3 linked regions of the Drosophila melanogaster genome follow. The protein of the gene in region 3 purifies or fractionates together with the protein of the main gene of each other region. This does not show direct contact. Each region holds a gene or a part of one and is shown on either strand. Other genes may lie near its edges.

Evidence for each region.
Region 1: the proteins of PGRP-LC (region 3) and imd purify together in Drosophila melanogaster (affinity purification with western blotting, with the first as the bait; 3 studies listed by BioGRID). This does not show direct contact.
Region 2: the proteins of PGRP-LC (region 3) and PGRP-SD purify together in Drosophila melanogaster (affinity purification with western blotting, with the first as the bait; one study listed by BioGRID). This does not show direct contact.

What each region holds. Positions count from the first base shown.
Region 1 is NT_033778.4:18,411,051-18,416,453, forward strand, and holds the start of imd (immune deficiency), read right to left. Parts: upstream 2,550-5,403; 5' UTR 2,406-2,549; intron 2,380-2,405; exon of another isoform or gene 2,276-2,379; intron 2,028-2,275; exon of another isoform or gene 1,798-2,027; intron 1,307-1,797; exon of another isoform or gene 977-1,306; intron 537-976; 5' UTR 361-536; coding exon 1-360. Other genes in the region: Dp1 (Dodeca-satellite-binding protein 1), read left to right, coding at 4,200-4,236, 4,295-4,545, 4,613-5,403.
Region 2 is NT_037436.4:7,648,167-7,653,190, forward strand, and holds PGRP-SD (peptidoglycan recognition protein SD), read left to right. Parts: upstream 1-3,013; 5' UTR 3,014-3,038; coding exon 3,039-3,599; 3' UTR 3,600-3,734; downstream 3,735-5,024. Other genes in the region: CG7492 (uncharacterized protein), read right to left, coding at 4,144-5,024. UniProt on the Drosophila melanogaster protein: Peptidoglycan-recognition protein that plays a key role in innate immunity by binding to peptidoglycans (PGN) of Gram-positive bacteria and activating the Toll pathway. Has no activity against on Gram-negative bacteria and fungi.
Region 3 is NT_037436.4:9,337,974-9,343,376, reverse strand, and holds the start of PGRP-LC (peptidoglycan recognition protein LC), read right to left. Parts: upstream 2,940-5,403; 5' UTR 2,788-2,939; intron 1,213-2,787; 5' UTR 1,050-1,212; coding exon 248-1,049; intron 1-247. UniProt on the Drosophila melanogaster protein: Major activator of the imd/Relish pathway and is likely to encode a pattern recognition molecule for the humoral immune response. Required for Relish processing and nuclear translocation following proteolytic cleavage.

The sequences.
Region 1 (5,403 bases), on a different chromosome or scaffold from region 3:
GAAGTGCAGATTATTGGCATTCGAGAAGTTCATGACCACCTGTTGCTGGGCGCTGTGTACGTTCATGGTGTTGTTTGTCTGGACGTTACTGAGAGTGCCCGGAATATTGGCGGAATGCACCACATCCATTGAATTGTAGTTTGGGTCGCTGAGCTCGCGCAGCACGGATTCGGTCAGATCCGAGGAGGCTGTGGGCGTGCCAGCGGTGGAGGGCAGCGCCAGGGCTCCGCTGTTGTTGTTATCTGGTTCGTTGTCGTCCACGGGAGCTGCGTCCTTTTCCAGGCGTCCCTCGACGGGTGTCGGATTCTGTGCCTCCTTCCCGCCAAAGATTGTGGGCAACAGGTTCCTGAGCTTTGACATGCTGCTCGCTGATAACTGGTAGCTTTGAATGTGCTCTCGCTTCCGGAAATTCCACAGATTGGGGAGTTTTTTGCCTTTGTGTTTCTTTGCTCTTTTTCAATTTGGTGGTGGTAGGCCAAGGATGGACCTGACTATCGATATTCCGAGCCGATTATCAACCGATATTTCACTTACAACTAAAAATTTTTAGTTTTATTAAGAAATTCAACTAAATAGCATTTCTTGTCTTTTCCGTCTGATTGAAAAAATCAATTATATTTGACTAACATACAAAACTTAACATTTGAATTTTAATTCTTAATCATTATGTGCATATAAGGAAAAAATTTAAGCATTTATATCTAATCTTTATTAATTTGCATATAAGGAAACCCCCATAATAACGATTATCATCTTTAAAAACTGGTGTTTGTTGTCTAAGTTTTTTTTTAATATATTTTTTTTATTGTTACTATTGAATAATTCTTTAATTAATTTTTGAAAATCCCCAAAAGAAGGCCATGGTAATAGACCCAATAGTCGATAGTTCGATTTGACAGTTCGCGCTTGCGATTGGTAAGAGCGACAACCCTGCACCCGCTGCGGCGTATCGCCCATCTCTATTTGCCACGTTCGCTCATGTTCATTCACATTTTACTTGGAGTCGGTAACGTTGAGTTCCGCGTCCGTGCGTTCTGCCTTCCAATAGAAAGTCTGGGTGTGAATTTACCAAGATTCCAGTGCGAAAATCAACTCACATTGCTCGGTGATCCGTGCGGCGGTATAATTGCAGCCGGAATTGCATAAGTTGCGGCGAGCGAAAGAGAGTGCACGGATTTACAGTTATAAAGGGCCGGCAGCGGTGGGGCGGCGACGGCAGAGCAAGCAGAAGAAGAAGAGACGGCAGTGGCGAATTAAAAAAAACGATGAAAGAAAATTCGGGCCGCTAATTTTTCTTCAAATTTGTGTGCGGTCGGCGAAAAACAACGTGTTTTTCAATGGTTGATAATACACACGGACGGCGCACTCGCGCTCACCCACACAGTCACAAAAGTCGGCGACGTCGACGACCCACACGCTCACATAGGGACGTAAAATCCCGTGCATACGTGTGAGCGTGCATATATAAGCATATTTGTCCGATTGGAAGGCGCGCGTGCTGCCTTTTATTTTTTTTTACTTTAATTTTCCTATTTTTCGAGAGGGGGAGGCAGAGTTAAGGCCCCGCCCCGTGCCGGAAAAGAGGATCCACACAACCTTTCACCTGGAAAGCATACGGCACTGATTTCCGCATTTCCATACTCTCACACACACACACAGACGCACACAAACACGCCCACGCGCTGCTCCAATTTTGCCTCCGCTGCTGCCACAAAAACAATTGTCCAATAAGTGGCCCGCATATGCTGCCCCCCTCCCCTTCCTTCACCGTGCTCTCTGCAACAACGCGCTCTCTGCGACAAATAACATTAGACTTTCTATTGGGGATGTGCATAACGCAGAATGACTGACTAAATGATTTGTAGGGCATTCATCCTGGTGATGCCACGATCCGATCTTCTGCATCCGCTAATTGCATTAATTTTAAGCAATTGTTTTTCGGCTTTTCCAGCAGACACCCAAGTTATCAAACTGGATTTGGTCAAAGGAGAGTAAACTCGGCCGGATTTTTTGGATTTTACAGTACCGTAAGTTGAACAACCTTTGCCTAGAGTTAATTTGCATAGTTTAACATTTTACACAAGTGTTTTGCCAAAAAAAAGACAACAAATGTCGTCCAAGTTAACGGTTTCATGCCTAAAACTGACTACGTCAAGCTTTTCTTTTTTTGGTCTTTGGGATCTTTGTATCGAAATTACAGAAACAAGAATCCATCCGATATGTGCATACCAATTTTGTATATATGTTTTTTTTTTTTTTGGTTTTTTGTTTAAAGCTGAACTTTAGCGCATTGTTATTGTGCTTTGTCTTCATTTGTCGACGTCAGCGTCGCTGCAGGCGTCACATACGAACGTATGAACGATGGTATTTGCTATGTAGGTATGTTGCTTGTTTTCGTTTTTTACCTGTGCCTTCTCGAAAGGTGGCAACACACACACACAACCGTATTCCCGAAGAAGAAAAAGAGCGACACAGAAATGTGCAGGCACACAGGCACAGCACACTCACATGCATACAATACACCACTGGCACTGCTCGATCGTTTTGTTGTAGTTGCCGGCTATCATCCGGTTTTATATGGAGCTGCTCCCCTGCTCCGTTAAGTTACTTCGTCAAGCTCTCGCTCTCTCCTCTCCCTGTTCCTGTCGCTCTCGTGCTCTTGTCTCTGTATTTGACACATTTTTCATGAGCACAAACAGATTCGTCGTTAGGTGATTATTTTTTTGGGAAATTAATTCTGAAATGAAAAACTATTATTAAATGTTAGGGATAATGATCTGGTGTCACTTGCAGTTGTCATTGTTATCTGTAATATATAAATGTATTAAGCTTTCATTGAAATTTACAAAACCGTATGATTTAAAAGTAAGAGGCCCCCTTTACACATACCCTGCCACCGCCGCTGTCCGCACATACAAAGACACAACTAACAGAGAGGAGACAGACATATCTTTGTTGTTCTTTCGGTAGAGAGGAAAATGTAGGCTACGAAAACTCGTTGGGCATGGATTTAGAAAACAGCTTTGGTCGAACAAGTGCATGGTCTCTGCTGCTCCTCGGCTGAGATCTCTCTTTCTCATTCGCGAGGCCCCAACCTTTCACCCAATCGAAATCCGACTGATAGCAGCCTAAATTTCGGAAAGCGCACTTGTAGCATTGTGTGTTTGTGTGTGTACGTACCACAATATCTTGGTGGCAATCGGACGACTGAGCTTATCAGCCAGAACGGCCGATAGTTATCACTCAGCCCCGGAATCTGCCTGCGTGGCCCATCGGCCGCGTCCACTTATCACCACCGAAAAGCGGAGAGTTGTGTCGAGCACTCATCTCGCAGATCCAAGCACTACGTGGCCTTAGTTTCAGGCTGTGGTGCAGAAAGCTCGTTTGAAAAGAGACTATTTCGGTTTATCAACGCCAGAAAATCCATTTCATGCACCCCCTTTGGACACGCACTGTTTACAGTGGGGCATGCAACATGGTTTCCCGGAATGATTCTGCATTCAGTCGAAGGAAACTTTACGAATATAAGCTACAGAGGTGAATTCAATGAATAATTTATGATCTAATTTAATAGATATTTTATTAAATGTAGTATTGGATGTTATTGGAAATTTCTTCCATTCACAAATTAAGAAGAAATGGAAAACAGCAAACAAAAAATTGCAAACTTTTGACGTTTTTATAAGAAAGCAATAGTAACGCAACTTGTTAGATTTCCTGTACATAAGTCACGCCGCATATCCAATGAATTATCTTTGTACTAATTTGTTTACTGTAGCCAAGCGGTCCTAAAGTGTGTATGTACTTATGTAGTTCCTTATCAGTTGGTCGCAGCCAAATGCGGGTCCTCGGAGGTCGCACTTATCAACTATCTGCGATTTTGGTAAGTCTGCGGGCGACTGACAACAGAAACAGATGAAAACTGTAGCTAAACGGGCCTATTTTAATCCATGTTTGCCAAAATAAGAATGCCATTTAACTATTTGTTCTTTGATTGATCGACCAGCACTTCGATAATCCCCTAGAAATTTTTCCTTCCTGGTTGTTTGCTTTATCGCTGGCTGATAAACAAGGTTCATTTATAGGGTCCAGTATGATGTAAACGTTTTAATGCACTTGATAAGATATCTTCTACTTTTCAATTTCAGTGTACTGTAAACGACTTGGAACGAAAAAGGACTTTTCTCTTTTTTTAAGTAATGCAAGCAGCAGCAGTGATGGAGGAAACTAACAACGGTGAGTTCTTCGAAGGCTAAATATTATCAAGCAATTGTTAACCAAAATCATCATGCAGCAACTACCATCGAGCAGCAGCCCATCGCTCTCATTAATGGCCAAGAGCAGGTGGCCAACGAGCAGCAACCATCCTCGCCAACTTCAGTGGCCACGCCCACTAGTACCACTAGCGGCGGAACTGGCAATGCCACACCCGCCTTTAGCTACGACGACCTGTTTCCGGCCCTGCCGGCCAACACTTCGGCTCAATCGCAATCCGGAGCTTCCGGTTCGACTCTAGCTCGTGTGACGAGTTCCCAAAAAACTCATGTAAGCTCGAAAAAGACATACATTGATTTGGTTCTGATTCTATGGATTTCAATTTTTTTTGTAACAGATTGTGCATGTTCCCTGCAAGGAGCGCAAGTCCACGGAGTCGGAGAAGTTTGGCGAAGGCGAGTCGAAGCGTATTTGCCAGCAGATCACCAAGGAGACCGGAGCCCAGATCGAGATTGTGAGCGGCAAGAACCAGTCGCTGACCTTCCTGATTAAGGGCAAGCAGAGCGAGCTGCTCGATGCCCGCCGTAAGATTCTTATGGGCTTCTCCACTCAGGCCAGTCGGCAGGTGACCGTTCCTCGGGAGCACTTCCGCGTCATCCTCGGCAAGGGTGGCCAACGGCTGCGCGAAATCGAGCGTGTTACTGCGACGCGCATCAACATCCCCAGCCAGAGCGATGAGAGCGAGTTTATCACGATTGCCGGAACCAAGGAGGGTATTGCCCAGGCCGAGCAGGAGATCCGTCAGCTGTCAGCCGAGCAGTACAAGAAGTCATCGGACCGCATCACGGTGCCCAAAGTTTACCATCCCTTCATCGTGGGCCCCTACAGCGAGAACCTAAATAAGCTGCAGGAGGAGACCGGCGCTAGGATCAACGTGCCGCCGCAGCAGGTTCAGAAGGACGAGATCGTCATCTCGGGCGAGAAGGACGCGGTCGCAGCGGCAAAGGCCAAGGTGGAGGCCATTTACAAGGATATGGAAAAGAAGTGCTCTACCGTCAGTGTGGAGGTAGCTAAGCCCAAGCACCGATATGTCATTGGTCCGAAGGGCTCCACCATCGCCGAGATTCTGCAGTTGACCGGTGTGTCTGTAGAGATGCCTCCCAATGACTCCCCCTCGGAGACGATCAC
Region 2 (5,024 bases), 1.7 Mb from region 3:
CCAAAATGATTGCGTTCAACCGACTGAATCTATTTGTATAACATATTTAGCTTAAATTTCAATCAAGTTTTAAGAGAAAGTTCGAAGAAACTTTAAGGTTAAGGTCCTGAATTCAGGATGTGCATATTCATAGCCGGGAACTTTATTCATTAGCGAATAAGACGGCAGCGCCTGAGAAAATATCAGGACACAAGTTGCGCGACTCGTAAACGAAATAAGTTTTCGTTTTCTGCTCGAGTTCTTGTTATGGAATTTAAGCAAGTTGTCATAAAAATGTCGCCTCCTAGTCCGCTCCCGTTCGCCCAATCTGACACGCCCCCCAATTTCGAAATTCGGTGGGTGGTGGTGGTGTGTGGGGAGCCGGCGGTGGAAGGCAGAAGGAGGTGTCAATCCGCAGTGCAAAGTTACTCGAAATCCAAATCCACACTGTGGTTGCAGTTGCAGGCAACTTTTGCTCTTTCCTGTTTCGTGGAAAAGCCTTGGGGGGGCGGTCGACTGGGGGAAATGGGGGGCGTGGCAGGCAGCAGATGTTGCAGAATTGCGTGCAAATTGTTGCTGTTGTTAGCCACAACTTTCCGGGCTTGCACGATTGACACCTTTTGGGAATTTGCGACAGCTTTAACGGAGCCTGCAGTTTAATTTGTTTGCTGTCCAGAAATGGAAGGCCTACTCTTCATCATCTTGCAACATCATAATCACCATCACCATCGTCAACATCATGGAATCTCCACGTTTTCCCTGCAATTTAATAGATGGCTTTGTATGCCAACGACAGTGGGTAAAATGGAAAATGGAAAAGGAAAATGCAAAAGGCGGGAAAGCGAAGGAAAACTAAACGTGCCCAATGCGCGATTTCAGTGAATTCGCATAAAAACTTTCGCCCTAAACTTGTGCAAGTTCTTTTAATTTTAATTAAACGGATGAGCAGCAATTAGCGAAATAAATCTGACAATTTTGCAAATGAGCCAACTTGGCGCCCCAAAAATTGCATCCAAATGCGGGACAGATTAAATTGAGACTATGGAAGTGGCGAAAAAAATATGTTTTTCTCTGCAGGACATTGGAAAACTCCTACTAATAAAAAAAAAACAATTCGAATAACCAAACAACACGGATTTTTTGAGGGAGCCGATTTGCGGAGGGGTGCTCCCAACTCAGAACTCACTTAAATTCAAGTTAACGGCGAGTTTTTCCCGCCACCAGCTGGTTTTTCCAGCCGCGCATAGTTTTGGCTTCGGTTTTTGGTTTTAGCCCGGCTTTTTCGGGTTTTCTGGATGTTGCGGCTTAGCTCTCCCCACCACTCTCCCCTCAACTCTCATCCCTTTTCCATCGCATTTTATATTCATTTTGGCTTTTAATTGAGGGCGCTTACTTGCATTTTCGTTGTCACTTTGCGACTTCACTTCCTCATCACGCCCTTTTTTGGGGGCTTAATGGCCTGCACTCCGCTTTGTTTTTTGCAGTTTTTGCATTTAATTGCAAAAGTTTTTTAATTAAATCACTGCCTAGAACATCTGTGTCAAGTTGAGGTTTCTGTGGGCTCGTATTAACTGGCATAAAATAGGGATAAATCGGGGGGCCTCAATACATTTAAGGGAAATACGCGGTATAAAGTGTACCATTAGATAGTGGATGTTCAGATTGAAATTGCAATATAAAGTTGTACATGTACATTAGTGTACACAACACACTAAATTATGCGTACAATTATTTTCAAACCAATTATTTTAATTAGGTAAAAAATTAAAACTTACTTACCTTACTTTCTCTGTATTTATACATATTAATCATATTTATCTTTTAAGAATACAGGCTTCCTGTATAAGCATTTCACTATTTTTATACATACATACTTATGTATGCATGTACATACATATGTATGTACATGTATATATCAAACACACACAAAACACATAAAGAAAAAACAAAAAAAAAAAAATAATAATAACCGAAACCAAAGCTTTGCTTTATTCATTCATTCGCTATTAAGTAGTATTTCACAATTGTTTTAAGCTGACCTATGTATGTAAAAAATCATTCTACGTTGCCGTTGTGTAGAATCTAACTATTAAAATAACTGTTTAAAGTTAGTTTAATAAGTAAAGGAGGTAATAGTATACAAACAGAACGTACTTCCGCGCACACTAAAAAAACAGAACTGCTGCAAAAGAAGAGACCGAAATATATTCGATTAAAGAAAGCAAGACGAAATAACGGCACTTGCGCGAAAGCACGCTCTTTCTTTGGTTATGACTCACAATTCGGCGAGTAATTCGATCGCATCAAACACTTACGTTTGTTTACAGAGAGGCAATTGATTACAGTTAGTTCTTGCTCGAAGGCAGGCTTACAAGCTAGAAATAGCGGCACTTGCGCGAATGCTCACTTTTTCGGCTTCTTTTCTATTGTCGATATTACACGCAATTCAACGCTTAATTCGATCGCATTAAAAGAAATCAGTTATTGAAACGCGTAAAAATAGTGCGGTTTAATTATAGTTTGTGTCAGATTGGGATTATAACTAAATAAATACGAGTGTTCCGGTAAAATTAATATTACATCCCGCCAAAGAAAAACATCAAATCAACATGCTGTAAAAATGCTCAATCTGCTGATTCGCGAGTGTTAGTGTAAAATAAGTAAGAACTATGAAATAATCTAAAGCAGCAAATTTTTATTTAATAATTCACAAGAACGTGGTAAGTGATTTAAGTTCTATGTACATTTTACACTTTTTATTACATATATGTCCCCCTTGTGGTGGCCTTGTAGTTTTTAGGGGAATTTCGCTTGGCAAATTTTACCCATTTAGAAAAATTCTGAGAGAACGATATATTGCTATGCTAGTTGTTCTTATAATCGTTACCCCCTGTCAATTATCTATCACTGGCAAGAAAAATCCCCCTCATATATGTATGATACATTCATTTATATGGGGTCGGATGACTATCTCCTTGGGGGCACTCCCCTTATCAGCGGCAATAGGTGCCGCAGCCCATAAGATCCCAACCCAGTCAGTTGACAGACACGCAAGTGGAATGACTTGGATCGGTTTGCTCATCGTTGGCCTCACAGCAATCGCTGTCCAGGGGGAAGTACCGATCGTGACGAGGGCCGAGTGGAATGCCAAACCGCCGAACGGAGCCATAGACAGCATGGAAACTCCCTTGCCACGTGCTGTGATCGCCCATACAGCTGGAGGAGCTTGTGCGGATGATGTTACATGCTCCCAGCACATGCAAAATCTGCAAAACTTCCAGATGTCCAAGCAAAAGTTCTCGGACATTGGCTACCACTATCTGATCGGCGGTAATGGCAAGGTATACGAAGGCAGAAGTCCAAGCCAGAGAGGAGCCTTTGCCGGTCCCAATAACGATGGTTCCCTGGGCATTGCGTTTATTGGTAACTTCGAAGAACGGGCGCCCAACAAGGAGGCCTTGGATGCCGCCAAGGAGCTGCTGGAGCAGGCTGTCAAACAGGCTCAGCTGGTGGAGGGCTATAAGTTACTGGGCCATCGTCAAGTCAGTGCTACCAAGAGTCCTGGAGAAGCACTCTACGCTCTGATACAGCAGTGGCCCAACTGGTCCGAAGAAATGTGAAATATAGAGTGTGCATTGCATAAGGTTTCGACACGTAAAGACCACTCCTTACACATTTATTTGTAAATATAATTATGTATAATTTGTTTTTTTTTTTTTTGCTTAAATACGAATACTAAAATTTTAATTTTGTTGATCTGTTTCCGATGTACTTCTTCGACTTCGCACATTTTTGTCAGCTGCCGCTTTTTTTTTTTTTTACTTTTTTGTTTGTTGCCAGACCCGTTTAATAAGCAGGCCGCTCCCCAGGAGCAGTGCACTGGGCCACAATAGAGATTTGAGACATCACATAGCATCATTCACCGAACCGGAACTTCCGCAAGAAACTAAGCTAACTATACAGAACCCTAGATGAAGCACGGAACGCAGATGGAACGAACGTGAACATAGTCGTAGTCGTAATGGTATGCAGTAGATAATGCGCCAAACGAGAGAGGTAAACAAAAGTCGGCAACGTGGCAACAGATGCTGTTACAGATTACAGATTTAGAAAATATAAAACAAGGAACTATACAAAATTCGTAAAGTACTTAGGTAAATTGCACTAATATAAACTCCCATTTGAACTGCCGCTCGCACTGTCTGTACTGCCGACAATGCTGCCATTTCCGCTCATATTACCATTGCCAATTCCTATGCCAATACCGCTTCCGTTTCCGCTCTGTTGGGCAAAGTCCAGCTGGAGCAGCCAGTTCCTCTTAGCCAGACCTTCGGGCGTCTCGCCACGCTGCGTACACAGCGGCTGGAAGCAGGTGGTCAGTCCAACGCTGGGCGTGAACTCCGCCCGTTCGCGTAACTCCTCCTCGGTGGCCAGCATGATGCAATCGTCGTCAATTTCATCGCTATCGACACTGTAGGCCAGCTGCTGCTGCTCTGCCCTTTGCTGCACGATGCTGTCGCTGGTGCGCCGAAATGAGTCGTCCGTCTTGCGCAGGAAATTGTACAGCGCCACACAGCCGAGCACCACTTCGCGGATGTGCTTGTCACTGATGCGCAGCGGCTGCGCCAGAATGGGGAACATGTTACACAGTATCCGCATCGTTTGATCCGCATGGGCATTGACCTGCTCCAGGGCCTCCAGTACGGCCAGATCCTTGGGCAGGTTGCGTGTGGTCACCAGATACGAGGTGGCAGGCAGTACCGAATCGCCAGCAAAGTAATAGCCCTGTCGGTCCATCTCCGCCGACTGTTGTTCCTCCAGAGCGTGCATCTTGTGCCTAATCAGCTCGATGGCACTGGTCTGGTTATAGATGTCATTGGGTCGGCTGCTCGCCGCCCTTTCCACCCTTGCGTACTGGAAATTGTTGTCGGCATCCACAATGCCCGTGAAGATGACGGTCGCGCGCTTGCGATCGTCGCCAACGGCGGATGCGCTGCTCGCCGCTCCGGAACTCGAAGCGGTCCCAGAGCCTTGGAGTTGGATGC
Region 3 (5,403 bases):
AAATAGCAAAATAATATATATATGTTTTAAGGATATATATCCCAGAAAATATATATTTTAGAATAGAAAACTAAAAAGTTGAAATTATCGAACTAACGATCCTCAAGAATAACTATGCAGAAAGATGCGAAAGCAATCGAAAGTTACAACTTTTAAGATTCCATTCTTAGTATAGTGTACAAAAACTAAACGATATCAGATTTAGATTTTAAAATACAATCTATTAAATTAGCTTAGAATGTCTTACCCGGCGCACTTCCATTCGTGCTGGGACCACCATTGAATGCGGGGTTATCCTGTCCACCAGCTGGTCCCTCGCCCGGTTTCCACTTGTCCCGATTATCGATGAGAAACTGTTGTATCGTCACGGGTCCCTCGTAGAAATGCTTATCACCGAACGTCACATCTGTGGAGTTGGTCAGGGCGATGCTGCCAATACCCTGCGTGGCACCGCCCGCCGGCGATGTGGGCGTGGCCACGGCCAGATTACCGTTCAGTATTTGCTTGGCCACAATGCCAGCTTCCAGGGGATTGGGTGGTGGTACTGCCGCCTCACCTGGCGCCACATGGCGACTGATCACCGTTAGACCCTGGTTAAGGTCGCGCAGGTGTGAACTGTTGGGCGGGTAGGTGACCTGGTGACCCAGCTTCTGGACCGTATAATCCTCCGCTTCGGCCTCCGAATCACTATCAATACTACTCGAGTCGATGGCATTATCATCGATGGACACAACGGAAATTGTGGTACTCCGTATGGAAACCGCCGGCGAAGATGTCTTTCCAACATTTTCCGTTGTTATATTGACAGTGTGCTCAACGCTGATACGCTTGGATTCCGTTTTCTCTTCCGATTTCGATTGGAACTGCCCTTCGCCCGTCCCCCGATCTTTGGTCTCCTTCTCCGGCCGGAATGCCGCCACATTATCGTTTAGTATAACGCCCGAGTCTGTGGACGAAGTACTGCAGTTTTTTGGTCCAGTCAACGGATCGTTTACTCTACGTTTCGCATTGGAACATTGGCTCATTTCCGTTTCATTGCTAAAAGGCATGTCGAACTATCGTGACAGTCACGTAACCAGATTGATATTTTCTCTGGATCTCTGAGCGTTATGTGTTAGCCTTCCTATTTAGCAGATTGGGCGGTACATTATTTTTCGTATGGCAAAACGGCTGACTAGGCACAGCTCTCGGCAAACATCACATCATGAGCATCTGCAAATAAGTATACGTTTTTTTTTTTGTTGGTCCCGGTTAACTTGATGATAATAAGCTAGTCAAACGTTGTCAAATTTCGAAGAAATTTTTTGTTTGAATTGGGCTAAAGTGGGCTTAACTTTGGGGAGGCACTTTGGCTTTATGGTGCACTGATTTTTTTATTTTTGATAAAACCACATAATTCCCTTGTGTGCAAGTGTTTTTAGAACATTGATAAATATATGTATATATTTTAACAATGTATTGCTGATATTATATTATGCGATAAGCTAAGTGATATTTATTTGATAGCTTTGAGCATTATTAAACGGTTTGGATAACACACACAATTTAGAAAAATATTTCGTCAGTTCTTTAATACTTTTCAATTACACATGCTTTATAAAAGTGATTTTATTGTTATCACAATCCATTAGATCGTTCAGTTGCAATATGATTTATAAGTACAATCAACGCTTTTAGTTCATGTATACACGATTGTTGATAAGCTCGATTGCCAACAGAGTTTTTAAAACGCGAATAAAAAACGTTGCTGCTGTTGTATGGCAGTGAAGTTTGTATAATTAAGATATAAGGGTATTGAATAGTGCTGGAATATATGTGTATGTATACAGTTGACTTATATTGTATACTCGTCAAATTCGATTCAAATAGTTGGTCAGTAAGCTCGCACGAATGCAAGGCTTATGCAAATTAGCTATAATCATTGACGTAGTCTATTTACTTAAGTGGATTCCGAGAAACACAAAAGTAGTAGTTGTTACCCATACATATGCATGTTATGCTTAATTTTGGATATTCGAAAGCCACGAGTGACGTCTTCAAAAGGCTGAAAGATCATTATGGGCATATGCCGTGACGTCTTGATGATACGTAGATACGAAGGTTTCCGAAGAGGTGTGCCAATTTCAAAACAGTAACTCTATTTTAAAGAATTCCGCGAATTGTGATAAACTCGATAGAATTGAAAGGGTGCCTTGGAGGGTAGCGACTTTATACTTTAGAATCGATGTTCTAGAGAGTTGGCACAGAGCACGCTTTTGAGATAACACCAAATGGAATACACCGAATAACGACAACGGCTACAAATGAGAAACGGAATGGCATTTTGAGTTTACCGAGCGCACCAATACACGTGCACGGGAGCGGCGGCCATTGTCACTAATACACGCACAGATCATCACAATATGGGTGCTCTTTGTTTTGGTTGTATTCTGTTTGGAGAATCGATAATAATTAACAACTCTGATGTTTTACGTGTTTTCAAAATTATCATTAAATATGGCCTATGTGCAAATTAATTGATTTTCGATCGATGTTTCGATAGCATGTTTTCTTTTTCACTTCCACGAATTTCTTTCACTTCCTTTCGTGTTTCGAAAGGCTAATTAACATTCCTGGAACATAAAACGATTGGAGAAACAAACTAGTTTGCACTTAAATATCGATATAATTGCTCAATTATTTGTCACTAGTCATATAATAGGATTATGATTATTTTGCGGTGTGTAATATTCTATATAATCACTCTATATTCTATTCTATATTAACACTTTGCATATCGTTACGCACTTTAAATTGCCGACGAAAACCGTTGCAGCTCGTTTGATATTTGAGCGTCTATACTATATAGCCAATTTGTAAGTCGAACTTTTTATACCGTTTCGCGCCAATTTCGAATCGTTGAGCAGCGGCGCGTTCGAGTGACTCTGATCAACTGAGCGGCGATCAAATCGCAGCGGCCTGAAAAGCTGGAGCGTCTGATATGGCAGCGTGTGGGGAGCGTGTGTGAGGGAGAGCAGATCGCTGAGAAAAAAAAAACAAAGAGAATGATGGGGAGAGAGCGGTCGGCGTTTTTGCGTTTATTTAACCAAAGTTGTTTAATTTGAGTCCGATTTTCAGGCAGTCCAACTTGTTACCGATTTGCATTTTAATAAGTGATTTCTCAAAAGATCTTAAGAGTGCAACTCAAAAGCCTTGTTCCAAAAAACTTCTAAATCGTTTTAGAAAATATAATTTTTTAACATATAGTGTTTACATATTACATAATATGAACGCGTTCTGTTGTATTTTCTATCCTTTTTGTAATCTAGCGTTAACCAATAAAATGCAATGATTTAAATTTTCCTTAAAAAAAACTGTACATTTTAATAACTTATGATAGCGGTACAACTTTTTCTCAATCGAAACTGGTTTAAACGAAAAGCGAGTGATCCCAAGAAACCGAAAGAATTCCGATAACTGCATCTGGCGAGCTGCATATTTCGGTTTTTCCGAGCGTCATTAAGTCGCGGAACCTGTTCTCGATTTCGGGTTTTTTTTTATAAATCTTCCAGATATTAGTCAAATTTATAACGATACCTCCAGCTACGCCCCGTGGCTCGAGAATGGTCTCTCCAACTTCTCCCACCTGACGATGACTGTTTGTTTTTGTTTAGTTGTTTAGTCGTCCGCACCGACATCGACACAGACAAATCGGCGTATACGTATTATATATGTACATATGTATGTATATAAATATATATATTTTTTATTTATTCAACCAATAAACAACACAAATCTCCGGCTCTCTCCCGTCTACCAAAACACTTACAGACATTGCAGTGTGGGCAAAAATGTGAACATTTTAAATTGCGCTACCATTTCCGAGAATTGTTTTGTTTTGCGGCCCGCAATCGGTTTTTGGCTATTTCACTTTGTGGTACAGGCCAGTTATATATATATATATGTATACATATGTACATGTGTACATAGCTCTTTTTTTTCTCTTCCAATTCCAGCTTGACCCATTGTACTTGTGTTGAAAAATATTTAATGTAATTATAGGCGAACGGCGGTTCGGCGATCTCTGATAGTCTGAAAAGGGCGCCGGGAAACTGTTGATGGATAAAACGTAAAGAGCAACAAATTGGCGAAACGAATTCCGAACACGCTTACAGAAAAGAAAAATAAAAATATAATTATAAGTGGAAAGCGCAACGAGCTTTAATCGAAATAGTTGTAGACTATTTATAATATTTTTTCTCTCAGTGTTCCTGACTTACTGATAAGCTTGTTGAGTGGCCTTTAAAATGTATTATTTTATTGCAGTTAAAGTTCTACACCGAAACATCTAATGATTTATGCCTTTTGTAGCCAGGCAATCTATTCTTTGTTGACCCATTATTTTATTGCGAAAAATGCCAGTAATTATTGTAAATCATTTCCAATGAAGCAGATAATAATTTCTTTACAACGGTTGCGAAATCAATCACCATAGCTATTTTAATATACCTACCTCCACATATTTTCTTACCTTAATTATTATTAATTATTTTTACTTTTTTGGTTCCCTCTTCGCATATGTGTTTTTTTCTTCTTCTTTTTGGTTTTTACACGTGCCGTACTCTCGTCATTGTTTTGGCCAAAAATTCGTTCCGCGTTGTAGGTATAATTTTTTTTTTAAGGCGCCGTGAGATTAATTAGTCAATGAATGTATGTACGTCACTCTTTTGGGCAGGTTGGACTTTAGGTCATTGATGAAAAGAGGGTTAAAAGGCACACCCACTAGTTTATTAGCTTTCCATGTCGTCATAGTTTCAGCTCATCATTTGATGCGCAAGTTAAAAACATAAACATTTCGAAGGAGTTTCTTTTTTTTTTTACCAATATAAATCATCGAACGTACTTCTCTGTTGAGGGCTTTGAACTGAAGGTCGGTGATGATAGCAGATCTTATTGGCAAATATCCATTTCATTTTTAATATATTTCTCTGCTATTACCAGTCTTCCTGTAAATAGGATTGTAATGACTCCATATGATAACAAAAATAAAACATCATTATTATCATTGTACATATATTCACGTTGAAAGGCAGATAAATGACAAAGGCAGCCACAGCGATCACAACATCGTCTATATAAGTGAAGTGAAGTGAAGCTACCGATAATGATGTTGTACTGGCGCACAAAGGCTCTCATATATTTACACACACACACAGACACACACAAGATCGATGAGTGTTAAAGTCTATGAGGGAATAAAAGGGGTACTGGTATTGGCACTGATAGAGGTTGACTGCGGCTTGGGAATTTCCAGCTTTTTGAGCGACAGTAAAACTAAACAGAGCTCCAGAGAGGAAGAGAGACACTATATATATATATATTACTATAAATAAACCGCTTGCTCCCAACCGGTTTACTTTGGTT